Ovis aries: one gene and its partners. The protein of the gene in region 1 purifies or fractionates together with the protein of each later gene. This does not show direct contact. Links are inferred from orthologs where the notes say so. Each region holds a gene or a part of one and is shown in the gene's direction. Other genes may lie near its edges.

Region 1 (4,526 bases):
AAATGGGACATTAACATGTGCCTCTGGGACAGGACTGGTCAGGTTGCTGAGAGAAATTTGGACAGGGGGCCTAAAGACCTACAGGAAGTCAACTCTGTGCTTTATGTTGACCACTTTTAAAATATTACAGTAAATGTTTATCATACACATTAGTAGCAAAATTTCCAAGCAGCATAGCAGTGTCTGAAAGGGGAGGTAATATACATTTTTATCTTGCCAAAGAAGGGCATTAAAAAATGCCCCCAAATCCCTATTATGTACTTAGTTTTACAGACATTTTAACACACGTGAAAAGAACACAATCCCTAATAAAGGATTCCTTTAGATTGATTAAACTTCGCTTCCTAGAAAACTTTCCCTTTGGGCCATTAAAAAATTCTGGCGACTATGTTTGGGTGCCTCTGCAAAAAGGCCATAGCTTAACAAAAGCAATATTCTAAATTTCCTTTGTAAGAACCGGTGACTGGGATAATGAATAGCGTTCGACATAAGAAACCCGTGGCTGCTCAAGCAAGGTCACTTAATCCCGTGGGGCTCCCCTTTACTCATCTGTAAAAGATGAGTCGGACTGGATGATTCAACCACTCTCTCAATCGAAAAAAATGGACATCCATTATGTGCCAGACACAATGCTCAGCACCATGGCTCTTAACAAACAAATCTACCGTTTTAGAGTCCTTATCAGTCAACTCACATTTATTAGAGGTGTTACATACCAGGCAGAGAACTAGGCTGGGATGTAAAATGAATAAAACTCAAGATGTGCTAATGGGTATATGGGTGAGTGAGGCTTCATAGGAGCTGTGACATTTGAGAGCAAGGGCATGCCAGGCAGAGAAAGTCGTCGGCAAGACTAAACTGGAACCCAAGCGGCTGTGGGGGAGGTGAGGGTGAAAGAAGCGGAATCTAGAAGAGGTGCCGGTCGGGCTTTTCAGCAGGGAACGGACAGTAACTCCTCAGGTTCGCAGCACTGAGGATGAGCGAGGCAAGCCCCGGCAAGAGACAGTTGCAGTTTGGGGCGAAAAGGTGTCTAGGACTGCAGCACTGCGATGGGAAGGGCCGGATTCCGGGTGGTTTTGAGGCAAAGTAATTGCAAAAAAGCCCTCTAAACGCGGGCACGAGCTCCACGAAAGAGCTTTGTTTTCTTCCGAGTTGCAGCACTCCCTCTCTCCCCTCACCAACAGTACCGGCCATTAAACGGCCCCGTCCCACCCTCTCGGGGCACCGAGAGTTGTCGGAGCTCGAATGCGGTTCTTGGAAGTACGGACCTTCCCTGCCCAGCTTAGTACGGTCAATAAACGGCACAGTGAAACACTGTCTTCTCTCCACAAAATAGACCCGACAGCCGCGCGCGTCAGAGAAGCGCACTCAGGAGAGCGCAGGCGCGCCAGCCCTGGCAACAGCCGCTTCCGGGTCACGTGGCCTGGCTTCCGGTCCGGACCTCCCTCTCGGTAGAGACGCGGCCAATCAGATTCCTCGGACTTCGCGGTCACCTGAGCTGCCTTCGGAGCCGTTGGCAACAGCCGAGCTGCAGCCAGCGCACCGCCCAGCCCGCCCCTCTGCTCGCCGCAGCCCCGGCTCCTCCCTCGTCCGGCCCCCGGGGCGGGGTCTGTCGGCTCGCCCTCCCCTCTCAGCCTAAGCCTTCCCTCCGCGAACCGGGTCCCCTCCCCACAGCAAAACGGCTTCTCTTCCTCAGCTCAGCGACAGGGGCTTCCCCTTAGTCGCCGCCGCCGACGCTGCCGCCGCCGCCGCCGCCGGCCGAGCCCCGCCGCAGTCGCGGCCCGCGGCCGCCGTAAGTCCCGGGAGGCGAGCGGGGACACCGGGGTCGGGGAGTGGGGAGGGAGGGTCGGGCGAGCCCCCCGCCGCCCAACGAGCGCCTGGACGACCCCACCCCGCGCCCGCCCGCCCGGCCCGCTACTGGGGCACCGCGCCCCGAAACTCACTTCTCTTTGCTTCCGCGCCCCTCTCCACTCGGCGCCGCGTCCCGGGCTGCGGGGGCCAGTTTCGGACGCTGCAGCGGGTCCGCGGCACCTGTGGTTTGGGAATCGCCTCAAGTTTTGCGGGGCATTTGCGGGCGGGGTCGGCGGCCGGGGGCGGCGGAGACGGAGGACTCTTGGCGCCCCCTGCGCGGCGGCGGTTGCCATTGTCTTCCCCGCTCCTTGCTTGTCACCTCGCCCGGGCTCGATCGGTCAGTGATGGAGTGCGGCCCCGTGGGGCGGCGGGCAGGCAACGGCCCCTGGCCCCGAGCCCGCTCCGCGGCCGAGCCCATTGTTTTTAATACCAATCTCCAGGAATTGAGGCGCCTTGTGATTTGAAGCAAAATCGGAGCGTTGGTTTTTAACTAGAGGGAAGGAATACTTGTGCCTTGCGACCAGGCATCATCCTATGTTAACATATAATTTATTTTAAAGAGCATAAATTATTTATTCGTCATATAAAGTGATGGTGGGGAGAGATGGAGGACCTTGCTATAGACTCCCTTGAGTCCTAGAGTTTCAAAAGCAAACCCCCAGTCCTCCTGGTCTCCAAGATCCTGGAATACGGGTCTGTTCTTTTCCAAGTTCTGCTAACGGGTTTGCGTGAAACATTGTCCAGTTGATGCGTTACTTGCTGTCCCTTTCTAATGTCGCTGTCTTAACAGGACTTCTGTATGAGGCACTTTGACATCACCAGTGTTGTTCGTTTATTTCGTGCCAGTGATGCGTTTTAAGTGTGATGTTAACAGCCAGTTTCAACTTTATTTAAGTTAAATTGTCGCATCGTAAATTTCTAAATACCTTATTGATGCCCGTTTGGATTATTACAAAAAGCGGCAATGATTTCTTGGTGAAATTTAGCGCCCATTTTATTCAGATGGATGGTGTAAATTCCCCCACCCCATGTTCAAATTCAGTATGGTGTGGTTAATACCAAGAGTCAGGCTGAATCCTACTTGCAGAAACTAGTACTGAAACTTAGAATAATTAAAAGAAAAGAAAATATCTAATTTCTACCTTTAAATTACCTTTGTAGAAACAATGCTTTCTGTTTGCAGTTGGGGAGACTGAATTACAAGAAGGTTTCCTTAAAAATTAAAACATGTAGACTAATCATCATTTGCAGATTCTAAATAAATGTATACAAAATAGTTTGTGTGAAATACACTAGAATTCAGCATCCACTCCATCTGTAGATGCTATGTTTTTAAATCGTTTTAAATGAAGTATTTCGTGTAATGTCTGAATGTGTGTAGCTCTTAGTTTGGCTTTTTAAAGGTTTATATTCTCTTCCGTAAAACTATATTAACTCACTTTATTGTGTGTATATTTATGTTGGAATTTTTAAAATGAGATGCGAATTTTTTTAATCAGGCTTTTATTAAGAAAAATGTGTTTATGGGATTTTTTTGGTTTATATTTTAGTTCTTTTGTTTTGCTTAAAATATGTAAACATAAACTGAAGACAGCATTTCAAGTTATAGCAGTCTGTCTACAAGTAATTCAGTTTGGCTCTAGAACAGCTTATTCTGTGTAGGGTGGAAAATAGTAGGTCTGTTTATTTCAAATGCATCTAAACCAGTTGATGTCAACAGTTCTCTTTTGATCCATATACATTCCTATAGCACACATACACAATAGTTTCTTAAATTGCAAGAATTATCTTTCTTTTTCATCAGAATTTTCACCTCACCTGTTTTTGTCCTCCCCCTCTCCTCCAAACTTAAATGGAACAGGGTGAGGTGGGAGGATTTGCATCTGGTGGAAAGATCTTTCTACAAGAATTTCCTGCTATTTTAACTAGCATAGAAATATTGATGGCTACTCATCATTTGTTGGCTAAACGCCCTGTCCCTCAAAGCTTCTCTTTGCCACGTGTCATCTTAATCTTAACTTTATTGAATCAAAGTATTGCCTGTAATCTTGGTTCTGTTTATCTTAACAGATGCAGTTTATGTTGCTTTTTAGTCGTCAGGGAAAGCTTCGACTGCAGAAATGGTATGTCCCATTATCAGACAAAGAGAAGAAAAAGATCACAAGAGAACTTGTTCAAACCGTTTTAGCACGGAAACCTAAAATGTGCAGCTTTCTTGAATGGCGAGATCTGAAGATTGTTTACAAAAGGTATAATTTTTATTTATTAGAAGGATGAAATAGAATCAGTTATTAGATCATTTATAATGTGGAAATTGCAGACTTTCAAGAGATTACATTTATAAATAAAGATTACTAAAGATATAAATGAAATAGTCTTAAGGTAAAGCTTTGTACTTTTAAGATAACTACTGTTTTGGTGAAATGATAAAATCATGGGACTCTTTTTAAACGAAATTATGTAACTAAAGGCATAAATGATACTTCATGCTTAATCATCTTTTTAGGAAAACTGAAAGAATTCATTTCTTTGCAGGGGAAAATAAAGTCAGTATTTTAAATTGTGTGAGTAATTTTCTGAATTTAGATAAGCATTTACCTCCCCCTCCTTTCTCCCCGCAAATCCGTAATGACTGGTATTCGATATGCCTTTTAATCTGACTTTCAGAATCTCTT
Region 2 (3,738 bases), on another chromosome or scaffold:
TTTTTCTTAAGAGTTTTTTGAGTCACAGATAACTGAAAATACAATGAAAACTGTGGACTCTCTTCCTGGGAAATGTGCTTGTCTGCACAAATGAAATTTGGCAGTTTCATTTCAAGAGGTTTAAAGATGCCCTCTGTCTTGCTCATTCATGAACTGCAGATAAAGACCTCCTACTCCGGTGTATTCTGTCATTCTTACTCTTTGCTCATACCTTGACTTACGCTATCTTCTCTTTTCTGTCATCCTGGCTATCCAAGATGATTTTGTTCACTTGAACTGACTCTTTTGTAATGAGTAAAATTTGGGGTGTATCTTGAACTTCTGTACATCTCCATCAGATAACCCTGTGTCTAATACAGTATGATCAAATTAAGTGCCTCATCTTTTAATCTAGTTTAGTTGATGTACCTGGATGTTCTCTCCCCCCACCCCCATTTTTTTTTTGTTGAGGTTGTGTTATTGGGTAGATATCTGACTTCTCATTATGTTCTTCATTGTAGCAATCTGCAGAGCGCTGTGTGAGCACGTTGCTTGATCTCATCCAAACCAAAGTAAATTATGTGGTCCAAGAGGCGATTGTTGTCATCAGGGACATCTTCCGCAAATACCCCAACAAGTATGTCCAAATACTTCTGCCCCTCTTCCTCAGTTCGTTTAGGAAATGTTTAAATAAAGCACTTTGAGACTGGCTAGGTAAGAATTATTTGGTCATAATTAAATGCTTTATTAAAAATCAGAAACGTGTAAGTTTGTGAGCACGAGGATTAAAATCTCATTTTTACTGTTTTATCACTTTTAGAAGAATTGAAGCTCTGTCTGAATATGCATTGTCGATTGACATATTTTTAAAGTTAATCAGGTTCTTTGGTGATGAAGTTACTATTAAATAGGATACTCATGTCTGGGCATAATCCATTTTATGCTTCTTACCAAGCGTAATTAATAAATGTGCCCCCTTTCCACTCTCAGAAATGTCTCAGTTTGAGTAATATGGCCACCCTATTGTAAAATCCAGGAAGGTGACAGCTTCACTATTCACTTTGTATGTTACCTAGTACTTTTAGAAAATTGTAGAACATGTAACGATAAATTATCAGCGTTTTAGACCTTTTCTCAAGTATGGTAGCTGCTTCCATTAAGATATGCAAAATCTACATTTTCACTTCACAGAAAATTTTCATGTTGAGGTCTTAGTTTGTGAAACATACACTTTTTCAGATTTGCTTTTGAAGGCAAGCAATTAAAGAATCTGAAAGAGTGAAATAAGCAGATTCAAGGGGGAGGAGATATATGTATAATTTAAGACTGATTCGTGTTGTGTGGCAGAAATCACAACACTGTAATGCAGTTACCCTCCAATTGAAAAAAAAAGAGCAGATCATCTAAGCACCCTAAATGTCATTTTACCTTATAATCATAGAGATAGGTTGTGCTGAGGCTTCTGACTAATCTTTAAAGATCATATGAAATGAAGTGACTTACAATTAAGTTAGTTTAATGGTGGACTCAAAATTAGAAGAAATATTTTAACAAGGTAGTGGTTTATTAAGTGTTTTATATATTTTTTTTAATTCTAGAAATTGTATTTTTGGGAAAAGGATATGCTTTTACCACTCTGTCAGGAAAGAGGGGTTGGGTTTCTAAATTTCTTGATTAAGTGTGGATACCTTGTCCATGGTTTTGCTTTTAGTCTTCATTGTTAAATACAGTTCTCAGTTTTGCCCTCAGTAACCATAGTCCATTTTGTTACATCAGATACGAAAGTATCATTGCCACACTGTGTGAGAACTTAGATTCACTGGATGAGCCAGACGCTCGAGCAGCTATGATTTGGATTGTGGGAGAATATGCTGAAAGAATTGACAATGCTGATGAGTTACTAGAGAGCTTCCTGGAGGGTTTTCATGATGAAAGCACCCAAGTAAGTTCTCTTCTATACCTAATGAAATAGATGTTTGGGGGAGGATTTCAGGAAAGGTAAAGGTTAGGCAGTTTTGTGTGTCTGAACTTATATATATATATGTGTATATATATATAGTCTGTAGTGTATATATAGTGTGTATATGTGTGGTGTGTATATATGTGTGCATATGTTCATTTTTTTCCTGAAAGCAAAAGGGGTGAGCTTTTTCAGTTGTGCTGACGTCTGTTGGAACAAGCCTGTTTAGCTTACGCTAGTGGTTCTCAAACTTTAATGAGCTGTAGAAACACCTAAGCACTGGTATTTAATCTCTGTTGAAGCTACAGGTTGCTGGAACCCACATTAGAGTTTCTGACTCAGTAGGCCTGAGATGGTTCATTTTTACAAGGTTCAGAGTGGTGATGCTGCTGCTGCTGCTGCTGCTGCTCCAGAACCATGCTTTGACAACTACTGGCTTAGAGCGATAGTTAATTATAATTTTCTGTCACCTAAAGATGATTGCCCATTACTGTCAATAATGGTTGTGGCTCGGTTACAGCTGGAGTTTTTGTCGGGGTGAAGGCTGGCATGTGCATTTTGAAAAGAATCTTCCTTCCCACCTTCTATCTGTCCTCTACCAAAATTGAGAGACCTTGAGAGACTTTTGAGTCAAAGGCCCAGAGAAGCAGATAAATTATTAAACCTTTTCCCCCTGGTGTTCATACTCACTGCAAATTGAAGTTCATAAATGTATTCTATCATAGTAATTTTAATAGGCCCTGACAAGGAATACATACAAGCCAGTAATTTCATGGTTCAGCAAGCCACTCTTAATTGACTGTGATCTAGTATAATTCTGTGGTCTTGGCTCTTGCCTCAGTATGATAAACGATTCTCCAGTTCCCCAAAAGTTGTAGCTTTCGGTGGAAGTAAATAATAGAGAATTTGGTCAGGAACCAGTTTTATTGCCATCAGCATGTTAGCATATACTTTAAGAAATATAGATGATTAATCTGAGGCATAAACAAACAGGCAGTTTTTGATGCCAAAAATGCAACTTGGAGGTAGGAGTCTAGTGAGTTTTCAGTTGATGAAAACCTTTGACTGCTATTGTTGATACTGGCGGAGTTTTCAACCTTTGTCTATTAATCAAAACCAGAAAGGCCTTGTAGTAAGTCAGTCAGTCATGTTTGGGGAAACACCACTTTGGAATTGGTGGTGTGGAATAATATGGATGCCTTTCACTTCATCTATTAAATTTATTTAGGTGCAGCTCACTCTGCTCACTGCCATAGTGAAGCTGTTCCTCAAGAAACCATCAGAAACACAGGAGCTGGTGCAGCAGGTCTTGAGTTTGGCAACACAGGTAAGAAATCTGGAAAAAGCATGGAGTTGATTTGTCTTGTTTTAAATTCTTGGAAAGTGTAAAACTTCTCCCAAGAAGGTTCATTTGGGGAGGTTTTGAATGTAAAGAGTACAGTCTTTAGATTCTGTTAAAAAAAATTCGAAGCAGTACTTCTTTTACATATTCTGCTGAATTAGAGGAAAAGACAGTGGCACCCCACTCCAGTACTCTTGCCTGAAAAATCCCATGGACTGAGGAGCCTGGTGGGCTGCAGTCCATGGGGTCGCTAAAGAGTTGGACATGACTGAGCAACTTCACTTTCACTTCTCACTTTCATGCGTTGGAGAAGGAAATGGCAACCCGCTCCAGTGTTCTTGCCTGGAGAATCCCAGGGACGGGGGAGGCTTGTGGGCTGCCATCTATGGGGTCGCATAGAGTCGGGTACGACTGAAGCAATTTAGCAGCAGCAGCAGCTGAATTAGAACTGGTTGTA
Region 3 (4,371 bases), on another chromosome or scaffold:
GAGTCTCTTCTCTGAGACACACAATTCTAAGTCAGACCATTGCCCCCACACCCTCCCTGCCTTTTCTTTAGACCTGAGCTTGGATGAGGGTGGGGGTTTGGTGTCCTGAGGAGTCTCCTGGAAGCCGAGTGGAAAGGAAGAACGTGGGGAAGGGGTACACTCGATACTGGAGAAGACTGTCGACTGGGCAGGGCACTGGCCGTGCAGCTAGGACTCCCCGACCCAAGGAGCCTGGTGCCCCTCTGAGGCCTGGTGACAGATCTGGAAGGGATGCAGCCTCCATCTCTGACCTCGGAGGAGCCTATCTCACCTCCAAGTACTGAGCTAGGTTCTAACCAAACTCCATCCTTCGCTGAAGGAGATGAGAGAAATGAAAAGTAGAACAGCTCCTGAGCATCTTCTCCCTCTTTCTTTCCCCAACAGCCAGCCCCTCACCCAACCCCCTAGGATGGCATGCCATGTCAAGAGCAATGCGTAAAGGAAAGATAAAGTCCCATGCAGCCAAGCCCACCTGCTGACCTCTCCCACCTTTCTCTCTCCCCCTAAAAGTTTATTTGGTTGGTCTGGACTCACGTGTGGCCTTTGATTAAATTCCTAAGGGACCTGAAGAAGACATTTCTACTGCAGAGGGTTAGGGGCACCTGAGCAAGGACCCCACTCCCCAACTCTGGCAGTAGTGGCGGGGGGAGGCAGTTCTGGAAAATGAACCACACAAGAAAACAGGAACTCACAGGGCAGGAGAAGCTGGTCAGTAGTCTCTAAGTGGGTTAGATCCCTTCCCCCATCATATCAGAATCTTGTGAACTGGAAAAACAACACAAAGGAGGGGATCAATCTCACACACTTTCCAGGGAGAGCAGAGAGGTGAGAGTCAAACCGGGGTGAGAGGTGGGTAGAGAGCCCTGTTGGAGGTTGTGGCTGATCCCTGGTACTAGCGTTTCCCCTGGGGACAGGAAGCCCTAGGAAGAGGGGGCTTGAGGGTCCCCAGGGGATCTTTCCTCCCTCCCCTGCATGAGGCAGAGGCAAGCTGCCTGCCAACCCCCTCCCTCAAGGAATGGCCTTGCCTGGGAATGCCCACCACACACAAACTCTTCTTTTTTTTCTAGTCAAACTCTGTTTACTCCCTGGCCTGCCTCCCTCCCTCTTCCTCTCTCAAACTTTACTTCTGATTTCTATTTCATGGAATTTGGGATTGACGTTAAAACAACAGTGCCGCCAACACCAAGTCTTGCAGGAAAAAAAAAATACAAAGAAATTTAACCAAAAAAAAAATATATTAATAAAAAAGTTCAAAAAAAGGGGGGGGAATTGTCCTCTCCTTTGGGTGCGATGGATTCAAACCCAAACTCTCAGAAGCTCTCCAGTGAACGAGCCCTCTTGCGAAGTCCCAGGCCTGTTAGACAGTCTCGCCGCCCCGAAGTAGTTAAAAAGATCCTTCCCTTATACTCCAAATCAGAAAGGCCTAAGGTCAGAGGATTCAAGATTGCTCTGCAGTCTGCAGGGCGGCCCAGGAGGGGCGGGGTCCCGCGATAGGGGCGGGGAGAGAGAAGGATCAGACCAAGCCCCAACCTTCCTCGGGGCTAGGACCAGGAAGCGCTGGGGGGAGAGGAGCGGAGTTGAGACTGAAGCCAGGTGAGGCTGGCGTCCTGGTGTGGGGAAGCTGACACCGCCTGAGAAGGGGACGGGGGTCTCTGCGAAAGAAGCAGCGCCGGGCTCTAGAAGGAAGGGAATAACTGAGCTAGGGATGGGAAGCCAGGTGGAGACCCGCCGTTGGGGGGGAAATAGGCGGGGTTCCAGCGCAGGCTCGGTAGCGACGGGTGCGGGGTGGGGCGAGGACGCATGCGTAATGGAGGTCTCGGGCGGCATTTGGGGACAGGGATCAGTTTTAGCGTGTCTTGGGACCCGGGCCCTCGGGAATTTGGTTAATTGCAAGCCTGTGCAGAAAAGGCCGGATGCTTACTGCCAGAGGGTTAAGGCCCTCTCCGTTTCCGGGCTCTGCCCGCCAGGATGGTGGCGTCCTCGCTGAAGCTTCAGGATCTAATCCAGGAGATTCGTGAGGCCAAGACCCAGGCCCAGGAGCGGGAGGTGATCCAGAAAGAGTGCGCCCACATCCGGGCCTCCTTCCGCGATGGGGACCCTCTGCACAGCCACCGCCAGCTGGCCAAACTGCTCTACGTCCACATGTTAGGCTACCCCGCCCACTTTGGACAGGTACTGGGCGTGGACGCCTCCCGTCCGAGTTTGATGAGAGAAGCTAGTGGGGCACGGTAGCGAACACCACCCCCTCACTTACTTGTTTCTCGATTTCTTTATTCTGCGGAGTTTCTGGGCCCTCACAGGGTGTACCGCAGATCTCCTTGCCCTTTACCACCCCAACTGGTCATCAGATGGACCGAACCCCTCATTCTCTGGCCAGCGCCATTCAAGGCCCTTCCTTTCTCCTCCCATTCTTCCGTTTCCTTGAAACTAACTGAATCTCCTAAACCTCTGTTCATGTTGAACGGGGCGGTCCTGGGGTATGCTGCCCCCACAGGTTAATCTGGTGTAAAGGAGAACCAAAAGCCACGCTAGTGCCTCCGGTTTCACCCCTACCCCTTCCTGGTCTGCCCCCTTCCCTGTAGATGGAGTGCCTGAAACTGATCGCCTCCCCCAGGTTCACAGACAAGAGGGTGGGCTACCTGGGGGCCATGCTTCTACTGGATGAGAGGCAGGATGCCCACCTGCTCATTACCAACAGCATCAAGAAGTGAGAGGGTTCTGGGAAGCACTTGGAATCAGGGAGATGGGAGAGTGGGGAACTGGGAAATCCCAGGGGGTTGCCTGCTGTAGGTACTGAAGGACTGGACTTCTCAGAGGCTTGACTGACTGTCCTCCCCAAACTCTGCAGTGACCTGAGCCAGGGAATTGAGGCTGTCCAAGGCCTAGCCTTGTGCACACTGAGTGCCATGGGCTCTGCTGAGATGTGCCGGGACTTGGCCCCAGAGGTGGAGAAGCTGCTCCTGCAGCCCAGCCCCTATGTGCGCAAGAAGGTGAGACAGCAGGTTCTAGGCTCTTGCTCCTGCACAAACTGTCCTGTCTGCCACATGATAGAGGTGGGGGATTCCATCCTGGCAGACCCTCGCCCTCTCTGAGCCCTGTGACCTCTGCAGGCTGTTCTGACTGCAGTACACATGATCCGGAAGGTCCCTGAACTCTCTGACATCTTCCTCCCACCCTGTGCCCAGCTGCTTCATGAACGCCACCATGGTAAGGCCACGGGGCTCCTCGTCCACTGCCTCAGCTCTGGCTGTGGGAAAGGGAGCCCAAGGACAGGAACAGTAGCTCCCAGGTGAAGGGCAGCACGTGCATGCAAACACGCACACAGTAGACTCCCCTGTGCCCTGTCCACCATTGGCTCCCTCACCCTGACCCAGGCATCCTGCTGGGCACTGTCACGCTGATCACCGAGCTCTGCGAACGAAGCCCTGCAGCCCTCCAGCACTTTCGAAAGGTGGGCTGGTGAAGGGGTGGGCCCCGGGCCAGGAGGAGAAGGGCAGTGGGGTTGGAGGGAGCTGAAGGGAGAGAGGATTAGGAAGAATGCCCAGGTCAGGCTCTGCCCTCCCTCCAGGTGGTACCCCAGCTGGTGCACACCCTCCGGACTCTGGTGATGACAGGATGCTCCACAGAACACAGCGTGTCTGGAGTCAGCGACCCATTCCTGCAGGTGGGCTGATCCTTCCCTGCTGTATCCCTGGAACAAAAAGCTTAGGCATCCCATGGCCAGGGGTCCCCTCCCAGACAATACTTTGGTTCATCAGTAACTTGGGCAGGAGGGTGGCAGGCACCAGGTCATCCCAGGTCCAGTGTGGGGATGGGGAGTGCCTGAAAAGTAGAAAATCCAACTTGGTAACATTTTTTTTTTTTTTTTTCAAAAGACTGTCCCCAGATCTCCTGGCCTCACTCACCTCTGAACCCTCCCAGGGCCCAAGGGGACAGAGGAGGCTGGGAGGGGGGACTGCAAGGAGGCTATTGGGAGCCAGCCAGACCCCTCACAGTGCTCTCAACGTTGGATTTCTCTCCTCAACCCCTTTCCCCCAACTTTTATTTAACCCAATTTCAGGTCCAGATACTTCGTCTGCTTCGGATTCTGGGCCGGAACCACGAGGAGAGCAGTGAGACCATGAATGACTTGCTGGCCCAGGTGGGGGTGGGGGCCTGGGTTATGGGTGTTGCTCTGTGATCCCACTGGCCTGGGCGTCCCTCCCATGACCACTCCCCCTGCAGTGGCCAAATGATCACGTCTCCATTTCTTTCTGGACTGTGATCTCTCCTGAGGTCAGGGACACAGTCTGTTACAGTGCAGTAGTCCCTGGCACATAGTTGGGGGGGCGG
Region 4 (4,479 bases), on another chromosome or scaffold:
TCATTGGAAAAGACCGTGATGCTGGGAGGGATTGGGGGCAGGAGGAGAAGGGGACGGCAGAGGATGAGATGGTTGGATGGCATCACTGACTTGATGAACATGAGTCTGAGTGAACTCCGGGAGATGGTGATGGACAGGGAGGCCTGGCGTGCTGCGATTCATGGGATCGCAAAGAGTCGGACACGACTGAGCAACTGAACTGAACTGATGATATGTATTATATTATATATAACATATAATACAATTTTAAATATATAAATTAATATTATATACGCATATATAGATATATACATACATATATATGCATATAAAATACATGTTATATTAATATATTATAATATATTATATATAATGTTATATACTTTATATATTATATTATAATATATGATTATTATATATAAAATACATACAGACATATATATGCATCAGTTCAGTGTTTATATATAACACATATTATATATTTATATATTATATATTATATTTCTAATATATTATTTATATATTATATATAATATAGTATAATTTATAATACATAATATATATTGTACATAATGTAGAATAAATAAATGTATTATGTATTATAATTATATATAATATATAAGTAAATATATTTATATATACATAAATATATAAAATGTATAATATAATATTATACATTTTATAATATTAAAAGACTAGTGATAAAGTGCACAACTGTAGGGGACTGTTTCGGAGAACAGTGGTGCCGTTCATACTGCGCAATTCCATGCAGATATTGTAAAACACCAAGTAGAAATGTATTTATTGTTTTGGGAAACAATAATTCACCAATTCACCAATATCTTGGTGAATTAAAAATACTGAATGGATATATCGAGTCTGGAAGGATATTCACCAAAATCTTAAAAATTATTGTCTCAGGGTGGCAGGATTGCAGGATTTTTTACATAGCCTTTTGCTTACTCGTATATTTCCATAATGCAAATATTATTTTAGATGTTTTTAAGAAGATGATCAGAAATTATCTAGGAGGAGGAGAAAGTTAATAATACCAGAGCTGGGAGTGAGATACCTATAGCAACCCTGGCCTGGCCGACCCAGCAAAACGGGAAATGGAACTTTTAAGTTCTCCTTGGAGGTGTGAGGTTTACGCGGAATTCCCCGAAGGGCTGCTTCAAGCGGTAGGTTAGACTTACAGCTCTAGTTTAACTCTTCTCTTCACAGGTAAGTGATCTTGAGCAACACTGGCGCCTCTCAGAGACTGAGTTTTCCTGTTTGTAACACAGAAGCGAAGCTGACCTCAAAACAAAGAAAAATAGACCTCAAAGTCTCTATGATCTTCTCCATCTCCGTCATGTTATATAGGCTCAGTTCAGCTCAGTTCAGTCGCTCAGTCGTGTTCGACTCTTTGCGACCCCATGGACTGCAGCACGCCAGGCCTCCCTGTCCATCACCAACTCCCGGAGTTTACTCAAACTCATGTCCATTGAGTCGGTGATGCTATCCAACCATCTTGTGGTATTTTTTGCTTGGCGGAGCAGCAACGTGTCGAGGGCGGAGTTAACTCCGACGCCCCGCCCCCTGGCCCCGCCTCGCTGCCACCGCCCCCGCCCGGGTTGTACCCTTGACCCCGCCCCCAGCCTGTGCGTCCACCGGAAGTGCCCGCGCGCGGGCAGCTCACTTCCGCCTGGCAGGTGACAGCCGCGGGGCTCCGAGCGTCCGGCGGCGCGGGCGCACCGGGAGAGCGGGAGGACAAGGCCGCGGACATTTTCCTGTCGCGTCGAGCCGCGCCGTGGCGTCAGGAGCCTTTCGGACCTGCGGGTGAGGAAGCGGGGAGCCTGGCGAGGCCAGAGAAGAAGTGGGGCGGGGAGTCGGGAGTCTGAGGTGAGGGATTTCTGGGGTCAAAGGTCACGGAGAGTACAGGGCGCTGGAGGGTCTAGAGTGGCTTCCCAGGACGGGAGGAGGCAGAAGGGCTGCGGGTTCATTCATTCGCGCCCCCTTGGCCGCCGGCGTGCACCCCAGCCGTCCCAGGTCCGCAGTCCCTGCCGGGGCGCCCTCCCGTAGAGACTCCTAGACTTAGGCCCAGGGGAGCTTGTGCCTGGCCTGACAGGAAACTTCTCTTCGGGTCTTGGTTCCCCCTGCACACTCAGCGCCGTGGCTGTCCTGAGGCCTCCTTGTCGTTAAGGGCCTTATCTCTTTGCCAAGGTTCAAAAACAGAAAAAAAAATATGAAACGGCCTGGCGCCACCGCCTCTAGGGTGGGGTTAAACAGAGGATTGGTCTGTCCCTAGGCGCCTCACAGACGAGGTAACTGGGGACCCCTGTAATAACGCCAGAACTACTGATGGGAATGCTAGCTGCTGGTTATTGAGCTGTGTGCAGGCACCGTGCTTAGAATGCCGCATTTAAACTTCCCAGCAATCTTGGTGAGGTAGCTACTATTATTATCCCCATTTTATCCACGAAGAAACTGAGGCACAGAAAAGTTAAATCACACCTGTAAGGTCAATCGAGTAGTATGGATGAATGCCAGGGTTCCTACCTGGGCTCGCAGGGACCTGCAGCGTGCTGAGACTGAAGCAAGGTTGGCATTTAGGGGCTGTTTAATATCTTTAGCCGCCATTAAATTTATTTGCATCTATATAAAGATATATTTCCCTGGAGAAGGAAATGGCAACCCACTCCAGTATTCTTGCCTGGAGAATCCCATGGACAGCGGAGCCTGGTGGGCTGCAGTCCATGGGGTCGCAGAGTTGGACATGACTGAGCGACTGAACAATAGCATTTAGAGATGTAGCTTGCTTTCTTCTCATCTACCTTCCTAAGGAGCATTTGATTCCCTTTCTTTAGGATGAAATTAGGCCATTGCTATAACTGATTTCTGTTCAGGGTGAGAAGGGGCCTTTTTCCCAACTGTTGAGAACTGCGAGACATAAAACAGTCTAGCCATGCAATGAATTTAAGAATATGCTGCACCTCTCTTGAGAGTGGTCAAGCTGCATTCTTTTTCAAGTAAGGGGAGGAACCACATGACCCCTAGGGTATCTTTTGGCCCTAGGTTCTTGAAGAGCATTCCCAAGGCAAGGACCTGAGTCTCTGAGAAAAGTGCAGGTCCCATGCCTTCTTGACTGGAGAACACACATCTTGCCTGGGAGACAGTGAGGTGGTTTCATGGCCAGAGGATTAGGTCTTGTGAGTCTGAGCTTTACTCGGTTGCAGACATTCACGTGCTGCAGTTCGGCTTCAGTTTCCCTGATAGCAGCACAGACCTGCTGACTTCCTACACACTCCGGGGTTTTACAAGCCTTAGTGAACCTGTGAGGATTTCCACGCACTTATAAAGAAAGCTGAGGTATAAATATTACTGTGCAGTACCTGTTTTTAAACTCCACTGTCTGTTTTCCTAGTTCCATTGAATTCACAGAAACTTAATATTGTCACCTGATCCCCATCCTTCCAAGGGAGGATTTGAGATAAAGTGACTCGTCACAGATGGTAGGAACAGGAGCAGCGCTCAGAGTGTCTGGCTCCCTGTCCTGAGTTGAGCCCACCAGGCTCCTTCAACCCCTCAGGGCAGCTTCATGAAGAGTGGCTTCACTAGTGTTCAAAGACTCAGGTCCCTCAGACTTTGTATAAAGTTTAACTGTTGAGTGTAGTTTGAGTAGAGGCTTCACCTGAGTGACTTGGAGAGCTCAGTGGTGTGGTGGAAAGAGCCTTCCTTGTCCCCCCATCTGTCAGCCGTGGATTCTCCCCCCAGATCAGCAGCTTCTTGGTAGCGTGACCCAGAGCCACCTATCCCTCAGCTCTACAATAATACCACCACCTTCACCTCCCCCTCAGCAGTGACTCGTGTGGAAGCTGGACAAGGACTTTGTGCAGAGTCTGTTGTGGTGAGTGCCTTGACCCTAGGCAGTTGATGTTTCCTGGGGGCTGGTTTTGGGGGTGTTACTTCTCTCTGCAGAGTCCTTTGTGTACACAGGACCTCTCCCATCCTTCTTGTTTCACTTCCTTAAAGTGTTTCAGAACAAGTTCAATCTGTTGATCCTGCTAGCTCTGGGCTTGGACTTTCATCTTTCTCTAGTTATCCTTGAAGCTGTTGCATGACTTGCTTGCTTACTTCCCGAAAACCCCCATTCTTGGCACCAAAGTGTGATGTGCTAATGGTGAGCCAGCATGGCTTGGTTATGAGTTTTGAGCTCCAATGTGTTTCCAGAAATCAAAGGGGCTTCTGTTACTTGCAGGTATTTCTTTTTCTGAATAGGTCTTTTTGCCTAAGATAGATCACTGATAAATTTTCACAGCCCAGGAATGATTTTTGTGTTCTTTTTCTCTCCACACAGAGAGGAATGAACAGCTCCAGAGAGAAAATATTAATTAGACAAGTGGGGAATCTTTTAAAAATAATTCTACTTGAAGGGACTTCCCTGGTTGCCTAGTGGTCACGAATTTGCCTTGCAATGCAGGGGACTTGGGTTCGATCCCTGGTCAGGGAACTAAGATC
Region 5 (3,738 bases), on another chromosome or scaffold:
GCGAGGCCACACTGAGCTGATGGAAAGCCCTCTAGGACGCTTCGCTGCCCTTCTCTCTCGCCTCTGCGGCTTCTGGCACCACTACTCTGCTCCTCGGCAGCTTCCGCTGGCCTCGGGGTTGCTGTGTCCCTGTTCCCCGTTTCTCTCACTGCTGCCCCTTCTCTCCTGCCCTCCCCTCGGATGTGGGCTCCTCTTGCTTGGGCCTGGCATGCCTCACGTACTGTTGCTCTGCTTGGGGTAGGCTTTGACTCATTCATTCATTCATTCCTATTTTTCGGCCGTGCCTCGCCACCTGCAGGATCTTAGTTTCACGAGCAGGGACTGAACCTGTGTCCCCTGCAGTGGAAGCTCAGTGTCTTAAGCACTGGAATGCCAGGAAAGTCCCAAGGCGCAGGCTTTGATTTCTGTCACTGTGCCAATGACCCCTGAATTTGTACCAGAGTCCAGAGCACTCATTTGGAGATCTGCAGGCCGTCAGGACACCCTGGAGGTCTCACAGCCGTCACAAACTCGGCATTTCCCCAGATGAGCTCCGCACCAGCCCCCAGCCCTGCTGTCTCTTGCCCTCTCGGGGAGTGACACCGCCATCCACACAGGTGCCCATTTAGAGACCTGGGCATTATCCTGCCCTTATTTGCCTCACTGCCACGCTCACTGCAGAGACATTTACTGAGTAGCTGCTATGGGCCAGGATCCGAGGCTGCCCTCACTGTACTTAACCAGTGCTCCTAGGTACCCACCGTGGGCTCTGCCTCCCATCCCATGGCTTTAGCTCCACTGTCCCCTCTGCCTCTATCCCACCTGTATCCTGAGGGCTCAGTTTGACGGTCTCACCCTTGCAGAGTCTCTCATCTCCCTTCAAGCAAATAGCTCAGTGCAGGGACCCTGTTTGTCTTGGTCACCCTGGTGTCCCCAGGCCCCGCATAGTGTGTGGCGGAGAGCATGAGTGAGTGGGCCTCTGCAGCCTGTGTGATGAAGGCGAGCAAAATACATAACTCCCTGCTCTTTCCTCAGAATATACTGGGGCCTCAGGGGCTCCGTGCCAATTGCATCCTCCAAAGTTGGATAACCTGGAGTAGAAGGTGGGCTTAGGAAGCCCAGGAGAGCCATGTTTATCGAGTGGAAGTGTCCCTGCAGGGAGTGAGAAGTGGGGTTAGAACCTGGCTCTCCTTTGTTCACTGTATGACCTCAGGCGGGTGGTGCCACCTCTCCAGACATCACTGTTCATTGCTTTAAAAATATCAGTCCACTTTGTAGTGGGTGGGATTTATACGAGGCAGCATATATTCCTGGCAAAGAACATATGAGAGGGTATGTCGTAGTCCCTGGGCCAGGCACCCACAAGCTCACCCACTGGGTGCTGGGTCTCTAAGAGGCCTTCTGAACAGCAATGAGTGCACAGGGTCCCTTGCCCGTAGGCCACAAAGGAGAAACTAGGAAAGGAGGGTTCTTTCTCGGTCACTCGACCACTCTCTCTGGCTTGCAGCAGTAAGACAACGTATTTTATGAAACGAAGATACTGTGGGAAGGAAACGGCAACCCACTCCAGTATTTTCCCATGGACAGAGGAACCTGGCGGGCTACAGTCCGTGGGGGTCACAAAAGAGTCGGGCAGGACTTAGCAAGCATGCGCCACCAGAGGTCCTGAGGCAGGCGGCTCCCAGGCTGGTCGGCGCAGTGGTGCCATTCTTTGCACATAGCTGCGTCCTGCAGCTGGCTGGCCTCAGGGATGCACGGGAGCAGCAGCTGCCCTGGGCAGCATCTCCACATAGAGCCTTGCTCACCGTGGTGTAGCTTCACGCCTCCTTTTCTTTCCTTCAGTGAGTTACGTGTAACTGACTGTGCTCATATAAAGCATATCGTTTGATGAGTTCAGTCACTGTATACATCCAGGAAACCAGGGGCACACACTCTGTCTCTTCCTAAAGGTTCCCCACACCCATGCCTGTCCAGCCTGTCCCCAGGCAGTCACTGATGTATTTTCTGTTACCGTTTCCCGGGATGTGTTTGTTTAGGTGGGATCACATAGTTCCGGTCTCCATCGTCTGGTTTCTTTCCCTTGGCTCAGTGATCCTGAAATTCCCTCCTGCTGTCGCCGGTGTCAGGAGTCATTCCTTTTCGTAGCTGAGCAGTTTTCTGTAGTGTGGTTGGACACAATTCTTGTCTCCACTCACCTTTTGAAGGATATTGGCATTCTCGCCAACCTGAGTCTACTTCAAATAATGCGCTGTGAGCATCCGCACATGTGTCTTCATGTGGACGTGTGGTTTCCTTTCTCTTGGATAAATAAATACCTGAGAGAGGAATGGCTGGGTTATAAGCTGATTTTAGCTTTCTGAGAACCGGTCAAACTTTACCAAAGTGGTTGTCCCATTTCACATTCCCATCAGCAGTGATGCCACACGCCGGGACCCATAAGAGAGGCGAGAAGGGTTTCTTTTCAGGTCACAGGTGGGATCTAGTAGGTGTGCACACTCAGCAGTGCCCCTCTCCTGACAGAGCCAGAAGGGCAGGTGCATGAGCACAGCGTGGAGGAGGTCTGCACTTAGAGCCTGCCGGACACAACCTGGCGTCTCCCCGTGATTCAGTCCTGGACTCTTGCCCCACAGCCGCCTCCCAGGGCCCCCATACAGGACTCTCAGTAGCCCCAGTAGATGTTCACGTGGGGAAGAGCTTTCCTTGAGGAATTCCCTGGGGCGTGGAGATCGAATGGCCCTTTGATGGACAGGCGTGACTGGGGTTCCCAGGAGGGCCGGAGGGTGGTGGAACTCAAGGTAAAAGTGCCTTCCCTCTCTCCCACCCGCCCAGGTGCTCATCTGCCGGAATTACCGCGGCGATGTGGACATGTCAGAGGTGGAGCACTTCATGCCCATCCTGATGGAGAAGGAGGAGGAGGGCATGCTGTCGCCCATCCTGGCCCACGGGGGCGTCCGCTTCATGTGGATCAAGCACAACAACCTGTATCGTATCCCTTTGTCGGGGGTGGGGATGGCTCCTGTGTGGGCTTGTGCACACACACACACACACACACGTGCAATTGAGAGCTGCTGTCCCCAGGGCTGGCTGGATCAGGCTAGCAGGGGGCCATCAGGCACAGCCCTGTCTTCTGGAGCTCCCTGCTGCCTAAGGATGACAAGTGGGATAGAGGTCCAAGGAGCCAGGACGGGTTGCTTGGGGAGGGAACATCCCAGTGGAGACCTGCAGGAAGGCCAGGTGTCTGCCTTAGGTGTCTGCTGGCATGAGGCATGCTAGGCCTGGGTGAAGTCTCACTCGGCAGCTGCAGTGGGGGTGACTGGAGCCCTAGAGTGGGGTGCATGGCAGGAGCGAGGCCCAGTGGTCAGCAGGGTGTGCGCTGCAGGGCCCTGTAGGCAACCACCTGAATGAAGTGTGTTGGAAAGTCTTGGGAGGGTTTCAGGCAGAGGGCTGACACGGTCTGATTTGCATTTTCTGCATTTTCTCTGGCTGCTGAGTGGAGACCGGATTTCAGGGATCAGAAGTAGACATAGGAGGTGGGGGTGGGCAGAAGCCTGGACTGTGAGGGGTGGTGGGATACAGAGAAGGGGAGAGATTCTTCCCCACCCTGCCCAGATCTCAGAGCCCCTTGCTCTCAGGCCCATGGGGAGGCCTGGCTGAGCCAGTTCCCATCCAGGAGGTCTGACCAGCCATCCCGTGGCTTTGGTCAACCCCGCTGGGTGCATTCTGGTATCTGCACTGCTGCGGGCAGAGCCTGGCTCTGCA

Evidence for each region.
Region 2: the proteins of AP1S2 (region 1) and AP2B1 purify together in Homo sapiens (affinity purification with mass spectrometry; 3 studies listed by BioGRID and IntAct, counting the BioPlex papers as one, with this or other methods). This does not show direct contact. The link is inferred for Ovis aries from reciprocal best matches to the Homo sapiens genes AP1S2 and AP2B1.
Region 3: the proteins of AP1S2 (region 1) and AP1G2 purify together in Homo sapiens (affinity purification with mass spectrometry; 3 studies listed by BioGRID and IntAct, counting the BioPlex papers as one, with this or other methods). This does not show direct contact. The link is inferred for Ovis aries from reciprocal best matches to the Homo sapiens genes AP1S2 and AP1G2.
Region 4: the proteins of AP1S2 (region 1) and AP1B1 purify together in Homo sapiens (affinity purification with mass spectrometry; 5 studies listed by BioGRID and IntAct, counting the BioPlex papers as one, with this or other methods). This does not show direct contact. The link is inferred for Ovis aries from reciprocal best matches to the Homo sapiens genes AP1S2 and AP1B1.
Region 5: the proteins of AP1S2 (region 1) and AP1M1 fractionate together in Homo sapiens (co-fractionation; 6 studies listed by BioGRID and IntAct, counting the BioPlex papers as one, with this or other methods). This does not show direct contact. The link is inferred for Ovis aries from reciprocal best matches to the Homo sapiens genes AP1S2 and AP1M1.

What each region holds. Positions count from the first base shown.
Region 1 is NC_056080.1:14,009,373-14,013,898, reverse strand, and holds the start of AP1S2 (AP-1 complex subunit sigma-2), read left to right. Parts: upstream 1-1,670; 5' UTR 1,671-1,792; intron 1,793-3,921; coding exon 3,922-4,100; intron 4,101-4,526. UniProt on the Homo sapiens protein: Subunit of clathrin-associated adaptor protein complex 1 that plays a role in protein sorting in the late-Golgi/trans-Golgi network (TGN) and/or endosomes.
Region 2 is NC_056064.1:14,441,759-14,445,496, reverse strand, and holds part of AP2B1 (AP-2 complex subunit beta), read left to right. Parts: intron 1-500; coding exon 501-616; intron 617-1,755; coding exon 1,756-1,921; intron 1,922-3,167; coding exon 3,168-3,266; intron 3,267-3,738. UniProt on the Homo sapiens protein: Component of the adaptor protein complex 2 (AP-2). Adaptor protein complexes function in protein transport via transport vesicles in different membrane traffic pathways.
Region 3 is NC_056060.1:21,191,272-21,195,642, forward strand, and holds the start of AP1G2 (AP-1 complex subunit gamma-like 2), read left to right. Parts: upstream 1-1,554; 5' UTR 1,555-1,632; intron 1,633-1,975; 5' UTR 1,976-2,007; coding exon 2,008-2,211; intron 2,212-2,621; coding exon 2,622-2,746; exon of another isoform or gene 2,747-2,887; coding exon 2,888-3,029; intron 3,030-3,149; coding exon 3,150-3,246; intron 3,247-3,413; coding exon 3,414-3,490; intron 3,491-3,607; coding exon 3,608-3,703; intron 3,704-4,099; coding exon 4,100-4,180; intron 4,181-4,371.
Region 4 is NC_056070.1:68,659,865-68,664,343, reverse strand, and holds the start of AP1B1 (AP-1 complex subunit beta-1), read left to right. Parts: upstream 1-1,653; 5' UTR 1,654-1,800; exon of another isoform or gene 1,801-1,863; intron 1,864-3,818; 5' UTR 3,819-3,868; intron 3,869-4,479. UniProt on the Homo sapiens protein: Subunit of clathrin-associated adaptor protein complex 1 that plays a role in protein sorting in the late-Golgi/trans-Golgi network (TGN) and/or endosomes.
Region 5 is NC_056058.1:6,596,510-6,600,247, reverse strand, and holds part of AP1M1 (AP-1 complex subunit mu-1), read left to right. Parts: intron 1-2,808; coding exon 2,809-2,965; intron 2,966-3,738. UniProt on the Homo sapiens protein: Subunit of clathrin-associated adaptor protein complex 1 that plays a role in protein sorting in the trans-Golgi network (TGN) and endosomes.